Caenorhabditis elegans: one gene and its partner. The protein of the gene in region 2 purifies or fractionates together with the protein of the main gene of each other region. This does not show direct contact. Each region holds a gene or a part of one and is shown on either strand. Other genes may lie near its edges.

Region 1 (4,603 bases), on a different chromosome or scaffold from region 2:
TTCCGGTCGGGTCGTGACAAAGTCAAAAACATTGGTAATTGAACAAAACATTCCAATTTCAAAATGTTTTTATGGCTGCAGTTATTCAATAGAATACTCAATAATATATTTCGCTAAAAAATAATTGGAAATGTAATTTTTATTCAAATAATTTTTTTCAACAAACAAAAAAAATTTATAGTTTTTTTTAAATTTAAAATCACATTTTTCAAAAAATTTGTAAAGCTGTTTGCGGGGAACAGGAGGGAGGTGGGGATTACGAAACAAACATGAAATCGATGTGGTTAAGCCGGGAGACAAAATGACCCAATAATTTGTCCAATGACGTGGATGTGTGACACCAAATTCAGAGCTCAAAGCTTCAAACGGAAAAGAATAAAAACCAGGAGAGTTGCTCCAGATTCAGAGAGAGAAAGACGTCTCCATATATGACTCTACGTCTATTCATAATGCGCACTGTCTCTCTATTTGGCTCAGCTGAGCATCATTGGCTTCGAAGCAGTAGAAGAAAGCCGAGAAATGGAAATGGAGGAGGTTAAGAGAGACAGAACGTGTGAGAAAGAGAGAGCGAGAGGGACAAAAATGAAAAGTAGGCGGTTTAAACAAACAAAGAAAAACACAAGGAATATCGGATCGAAAGGATGCTCCGAGGAGCAATATTCGGGAAAAAAAGGAGCTCCGGTTTCAGAATGTCACTTCTGAATTTGGAAGTGTGACAATTCAAAAGAATTAGTATAACTCAGCGGCCCGATTTTTGTACCAAAAATACGGTCTCGACACGACAAACTTTTGTTAATTGCAATTTAGCTGTAAAATGGTGTGCGCCTTTAAAAGAGTACTGTAATTTCCATTCCCAAGTTGTGAGAAAACAGGAGAAAAACGAATATTTATTAAAACAGGAGAAAAAAGATCAGAAGATTTGAGTATTTTGTTTGAAATAACAACAAGTTGACCAAATTATTTGTTTTTTTAGTTTTCAGAAACAGTTTTGTGAATGCATTTCATGAATGGTTTTTGTGTCAAAGCAACGTTATAATAAAATTTAAAAATAAAATATTTTAATCTCTATTTATTATAACGTATTGATTTTTACAAACACTTTACTATTTATAATACAATTACTTTCTTGATTTTGGGATTTTCTTGAAATTTGCAATATTTTCGCAATATTTTCGGAACGACATTTTGAAATCTCGACATTTCACACAATTTTTGCATGTAAACGTTGTATTTGCCACCGTTTTAATTGATTTCTCTCAATTTTAATTTCAGATTCATCAACTACAGTATACTCGCCTTTGACTTTCAAGCTCATCGAGAAGTGCGCCAGCTTCGCATAATCAAGAAGTGCGTCAGCACTCGACTTGCGCAATTCTTGTCAACTGATATGATTTCTTTTTGTTTTTTGGTTATTTTTTGCGCGTTCTTTGTGCTTTTCGTTTTTTTTTTGTTCGTTGGTTTCTTTCTTTAATGAAACGAAATATTTTATTTTAGTTTAGACTTCCAATATATAGAATAATTAAATTGCATATAACATGACGAAAGGAAGTATAATCTGGGATTATAAATTTTGAGCTTTAGCTATCTTCCTTTATCCTTTAATTCTTGCGTCATTCATAAATGACATATCGTTTACTTTCGAAAATTGATTTTCACATGTCCGTTAACAATAAATAATTTAATTTTATAATACTTTTAGGGTAAATATGTCAAACTCAACGATGGAGGCTACTCAAATGAAAGTAAAGCTGGCTGTCGATGAGATGATTGACGATTTGGATAAGACCTATTTGAGGGATATGCAGAAGAGCATGTTTCAGTGCTCAGCTCGGTAATTATTTTCGAAATTACACTAAATATGTTTAGTAAGCAATTTGTATTACGCTAAACCACCTGAAAATGTCTAATTTAACTTCGCAATTGAAAATTTTTTGCATTATTTCAGGTGCTGTGACAACAAGAAAACCACACGCGATGCTGTCGAGAACTGCGTTGAAAGCTGCAACGATGGCATGAAAAAGGCGCAAGGCTATCTTGAAAAAGAGCTCGGAGGGCTTCAAGACCAGCTCTCACGCTGTGCAATGACTTGCTATGATAAGCTTGTTCAACAGTTTGGTCCAGATGTCAATAAGTATTCAGAATCACAGGTGTGAAGATTTATTAAATTTTAGAAATCAAAAAATTTATAAATTAATTTAGGATTTAAAAAATCAACACCCGAGGGGGCTCATAGCTCACAGCTTTTGGTGGAACATTTTTTTGGAATTAAAACAAAAGTATATACAGTGAAAAGCTAGTTTGGGTTGAAAATTAATTTAGTTTTGTCGAAGAAGAATTTAATAGAAATAAGATTTAAATTATAAATCATCCATACATTGAATCGTGAAGCTCTTCAAGATTTCTCTGTCTCTCCTCCTCCTCAACTTCTTTATCAGTTTTGACCTTCTGACGGCATGTTGGGCAAGTTTGTTGAGCTTCAAGCCATAGAGTGAGACAAAAATAATGAAAGCGATGTTTGCATGGCATGACGATAACTGTGGTTCCGAACGTTGTTGGATCAATTTTTAATTCCTCTTTGATGACATGATCTTCAGGAATATCGACGTTGTTTTGCAAGTTATCCAAACAAATTGCACAGGTTGCTGAAAAATAGATTATTTAGGCAAATAGTCAGCATTTTTTCTGAGTGTTTTTTTTTTCAAATACAAGCTTTGCTCAATTTTAATAGTTTCTCATACCATCTTCTTTCTGTTGATCTGTAGTCTCTCGATCCATCAGTCTCAGCGCTTTATATGATTTTTTGTCAATTGGCAAACTTCCAACATTATACAAATCCAGCCATCTTTGCATCGCATCTGTTTGTGAACCAGTACCTTCCGCTCGCATTCCTTAATTTAATATATAATTTGAATGCTTTCTCATAAAATAACTTACTGACGAAGATGGTTTCGAGCATATGCGAAAAAGCTCTAATAGCGTCTCTTTCCGACATATCTAATTGCCAGATAAAATATTTTAAGAAATGACGAGAGATATGGTGACAAAAGGAAAACGTACTTACGCAAGTGCAACGAAAAACGTGCAATTCGTCGTAACGGTGTTTGCGGATTTTTTGCGTGTCTGTCTCGCACTCTCCATTCTTTCATCACGAGTTTTGATGACTATTTATGCAAATTTCGGGGGTTTATGAATCACCAATCAAGTGCCACGCTGTTCATCGATTTTTAGTTTTGTATTACTTTTGCTATTTTAATAGTTAGACCCTCATAAGATTTGTATCGAGGGGTGTTTTTTTTTTAATGTAACATTATGAAATCTAAAATGATTCATTTTCTTTTCTATTCTTTCTGTCGTCTCTAATTAATGATAATTATCAATTTGGTAGAAATTTAGCGATCGCTAAAGACGCACGGTATTATTCAGAAGGGTCTCGGCGCGGAAAAAAGTTTATGGTAGTTTTTAATATTTTTTGCAGCTGCTTTTCCTTACATTTTTCATTGCAATTACCTCGATTTTAGCAAATTTTGCCTTTTTTTAAAACATTTTCATGTTAAAAATTGTTGTAAACCAGTTTTTTATTAAAAATATGTGTTTTTCTGTTTTTTGGCGTGGAAGAAACAGAAAAGTGAAATATATTTTCTTTACGCGCTGAGCCCCATCTTAATAAATTCCGTGCGCCTTTAGCAAGGCATGGCAAAAATATTTATAAGACACATTTCTGTGATCCTAACGCCTCTGATTTCTCACAAAATTAAAAAAAAATTGATCAAAAATTAAGAAAATCCTCGCATTTCAGAAGCTCAGTTTCAACGAGAAGCTCGATTCGTGTGTCTCTGTTTGTGCTGATGATCACATCAAATTAATTCCGGCAATCAAGAAGAGATTCGCGAAAAATACCTGAGAGCCAGCCACACATTTTCCACCGAGTATTGCCATATCCCCTCTTAATTTCCCATTTATCAAAAAAATATCCCATTTAGGCGTATTCTCCACTCATTAGGCTCCCTCATTGTTGCTCACTATTATATCATTATTTTTCTTTCATACTTTTTTAATAAGTTTTCATGCATTCAGTCATAAAATCTCTATCCCAATTGATTTAAACTCTCCTTAAACGTTTTGACCGTATTTCATACTTTTTCCACCGAACTTATTCTCTTCAAACAAAACAACGTTCAGGTACTATGAAAAAAATATTACCGATCATATGGCTCATCAATTTGGTTAGTGGAAGCCTATCACTCGAGAAAAAAGCTCCCGATTTACTTGGAAAAGTATGTGCATTTGGAGATTTCAATGCAGATCGGAATACTGATATTCTGGTTTTTGCGAATGGAACATTGACGATTAATTATCAAGAAACTAAACTTCTTGATGTGGTTAGTTTTTATTTTTTCTTTTGTTGAAATTTCACATAAAAATTTTGAAATTTTCAGCTCGAAGCTTCCAAATTCACACCAGGAACATCGTTTGCCATCAGTAAACCCAGCCTGAATGCAGATTTTGTTGAATGTTCAGTTGGCGATTTCAATGGAGACTCTAGGCTTGATGTTTTGGTGAGTTTATTGAAAACATTGTCATTTTGCTTCATTGAACTTGAAAT
Region 2 (3,038 bases):
CTGATAAAACTATATTCCACATCAAATGCAATGATTTCTCATGTAAGTTTTTTTAAAACTGTAATGGTACCGTGGGTATACTGTATGATTACTGTAGTTTCAGAAATATGAGCTTTCGTTTTTGTAAGAGATATTTGGGGATAGTGTCGGGGTACTGTAGTAGTACTTTAGGGGTACTGTAGGAGTACTATAAGATTACTGTAGTAATTGAGGTTTTGTCTTTTGAAGAGACAGTGCCGAGTTACTGTAATAGTGATGTAGGAGTACTGTAGGAATACTGTAATTCTAGAAATTTGAGTTATTGTTTTTTCAAAAGAATAGTGAGGGATAGTGGCGGGGTACTGTAATGGTACTGTGGAAGTAATGTCGTAATAGGACTACTGTAGCTCTATTTATTTGATTTTTTGTTTTATGAAAAGATAGTGTCGGGTACTGTAGGAGTCCGAAGTGGTACAGTAGGGGTACTGTAGGGACACTCTAGGAGTACTGTAGAATTATTTTAGTTCTAGAAAAATTTAGTTTCTGTTTTTACAAGAGATACTTGGAGATAGTATCGGGGTACTGTAGAAGCTGTAGGATTACTTTAATACTGGAAATTTGAGTTTTTTCATTTGAAGTGATAGTGGGGATAGTGTCAAAGTAGTGAGGGGTTACTGTAAGGGTTACTGTAGATCGCAACAAATTTTCAGATCATTCCTTCGATTCTCTTTCCTATAGTCACATTTTTTCTTGTAAACGTCCTACGAAAAGCTAAAAAATCTCGGAAACTGGTATCCAAGACCGATAGTAATACGAAGTCTACAAAAATCATAATCTATACAGCGATTATTTTTCTAATTGTTGAGCTTCCACTTGGAATCAATCTGGCGATCATTTGGTTTTTCAATAATTCCGTTGGAATCAAGTAAGTTTGACGGCAAAAAATTGGCTGAAACAGCTAGCTTTTCAGGCTGATTCTTGATCAATTTGAAGCTCTTTTTTATATGCTACTTACCGCAAACACAATTTCCCATTTCTTTGTTTGTTTCGTCTTGTCTTCACAATACAGGGCAACACTGATAGATGTAGTGTCGTGCGGGATAAGTTTCCAGGTAGGAATAATTTTGAGCGAATTTGAAAAAGGAGCCGGTATGAACTCAATAAATTTTCAGAAGAACAGAATTGGAAATCTTTGCAAAAGTCGAAAAAGTTCACAACAAAATGTTATAACAGTAAATGCAATATCAATATGATCCATCATCTTTATAAGTCACCAAAGTATTATTTTCCATAAAATGAAGCAGCGTCCGACAAATGGCGGGTTCTGGCTCCCAAGTAATAATAATTTTTCGTCCAGTAATCAAACAATTCCTTCTAACATTGAACTTTTTTATTATTTTAGTTAGAGTAAGAATAAAACCCTATACAACTACTTGTGGTTGTGAAATAACTGCACAACGGAAATTATCTCATATTCTAGTGAGGCTTGTCACAAATGCTATCGATACTATTGTAGAACTTGCTGATAGCTGAGAAACGTCTGAAACCCTACGAAAAGTAACTTCTGTTCACAAAAACATTTTACTATTAAAGAGCCCAGAATAATGTCAACTATTGTTTTTATATATTCCTTTATTACTGTCATAGTCTGTTACTCAAATATTTGCCTAAATTTGATCCTTTTATTAGCAATTTTCTGCTCTAAAAGAGTCACTTTCAAATCTGAATTGTCTCTTTTCTATACAAGATTTGCTGCAGATATTGGATACAGTATTTCTAGTAAGTTTTTGAAAATCTAATTCAATTCAATTTTGATTCAGTTAGTAATTTCAAATTGTACATTTTGGCGGTTATGATTTCGGAAATATTTGCCGTTAAAAATTTCATTTTCATCACACTATGGCTTACTATTATATTTGGAATCATTCGAACAAGTCTATTATTTTTAACTACTTTGGATCGAGTCATTTCTCTATTCTTCCCTTTCTTCTATTGCGCAAACCGTAGCAAACTTCCACTATTTGCCATTTTTATTCTAATTTTTTCCTTGATAATTTTCGATCAAATTATCATGTTCGGATATTGTGGGAATACTATTGATACTCCCATGAACTGCGACCATTTCCGTTGTTCTTTCAATGAGTGCTACAGTATTTATTGGGTAGAGCACGAAAAAATTGTATTCAGTATGATCGTCGTTTTGACAGTATTGCAATTAGGGAAACTTGTTGTTTACACTGTTCTTGCACAGAACCAATCGGCTCAAGTTTATTCAAGAGTAAGGTGCTGTACCTTTAAAATATAAGCAATTCATAAATTTAAGGCTACCCAAATAGCTATGCTTGACTCAACAACTCTTATTTTATTCAATCTTGTTCCGGTCATGTCTACTTTTTGGTTTGAATCAGCTGATTATGAAACGTATTCGTCGTTTGCAACTCTCTCTAGAAATCTTGGATTTTTAATCAACACATTGATCATTTTTCGAATATTCATGAGAGATAAAAATAATACAGTGACAGCATTAACATCACCCAATTCTTAAGAACTTAATTTTTTTAAAATAAATGAATAAAATTGCTTCAAACTATTGCTTTTGGTTTTTTAGTAAATGTGTAAAGAATTGTACGTTGAAGGTCGCATAAAAAACTACCTTCAAATTATTAATTAATCCTATTTTTATCGACTGACGTTCTTGTTGTTTTTTTTAATTTTTATATTAACACATTAACACAAAAGATAAATTATCCAATTTGATAAAAATGAAATCCCGGCAGCGTCGTTTGAGTAATGTTTTTGCCTAGCCTGTCTGCACTTCATTTTAAAAATGCAATTATTATTGGTTTTATAGTAACAATGAAACGCATTCATATTTAATGCACTTTCTGTTCTTGGCCTGTACAATTAAGCTATTAGACAACTGCGTGAAAGGTATCTGCTGAACGGAAATTAACTAATATATTATTTACACAAAAGTTGAGTATTATTATCTTTTTGTCCCTAACAATAACATTATGTTTCCTATTTTCACAGTCATAACCAGTTACGTAACAGTCTAT

The links. Proteins that work in one complex are often made in the same cells at the same time.
Region 1: the proteins of srbc-68 (region 2) and famh-136 fractionate together in Caenorhabditis elegans (co-fractionation; one large-scale study listed by BioGRID). This does not show direct contact.

The regions. Positions count from the first base shown.
Region 1 is NC_003281.10:8,886,052-8,890,654, forward strand, and holds famh-136 (FAM161 homolog famh-136), read left to right. Parts: upstream 1-1,699; 5' UTR 1,700-1,706; coding exon 1,707-1,831; intron 1,832-1,945; coding exon 1,946-2,147; exon of another isoform or gene 2,148-2,364; coding exon of another isoform or gene 2,365-2,642; intron 2,643-2,738; coding exon of another isoform or gene 2,739-2,888; intron 2,889-2,934; coding exon of another isoform or gene 2,935-2,992; exon of another isoform or gene 2,993-3,105; intron 3,106-3,796; coding exon 3,797-3,901; 3' UTR 3,902-4,092; downstream 4,093-4,603. Other genes in the region: putative RING finger protein ZK637.14, read right to left, coding at 2,365-2,642, 2,739-2,888, 2,935-2,992; lnkn-1 (Protein linkin), read left to right, coding at 4,185-4,379, 4,437-4,556. UniProt on the Caenorhabditis elegans protein: May play a role in locomotion and behavior.
Region 2 is NC_003283.11:3,545,163-3,548,200, reverse strand, and holds srbc-68 (G-protein coupled receptors family 1 profile domain-containing protein), read left to right. Parts: upstream 1-1,583; coding exon 1,584-1,758; intron 1,759-1,799; coding exon 1,800-2,257; intron 2,258-2,302; coding exon 2,303-2,524; downstream 2,525-3,038. Other genes in the region: srw-130 (G-protein coupled receptors family 1 profile domain-containing protein), read left to right, coding at 1-42, 690-904, 950-1,091, 1,152-1,232.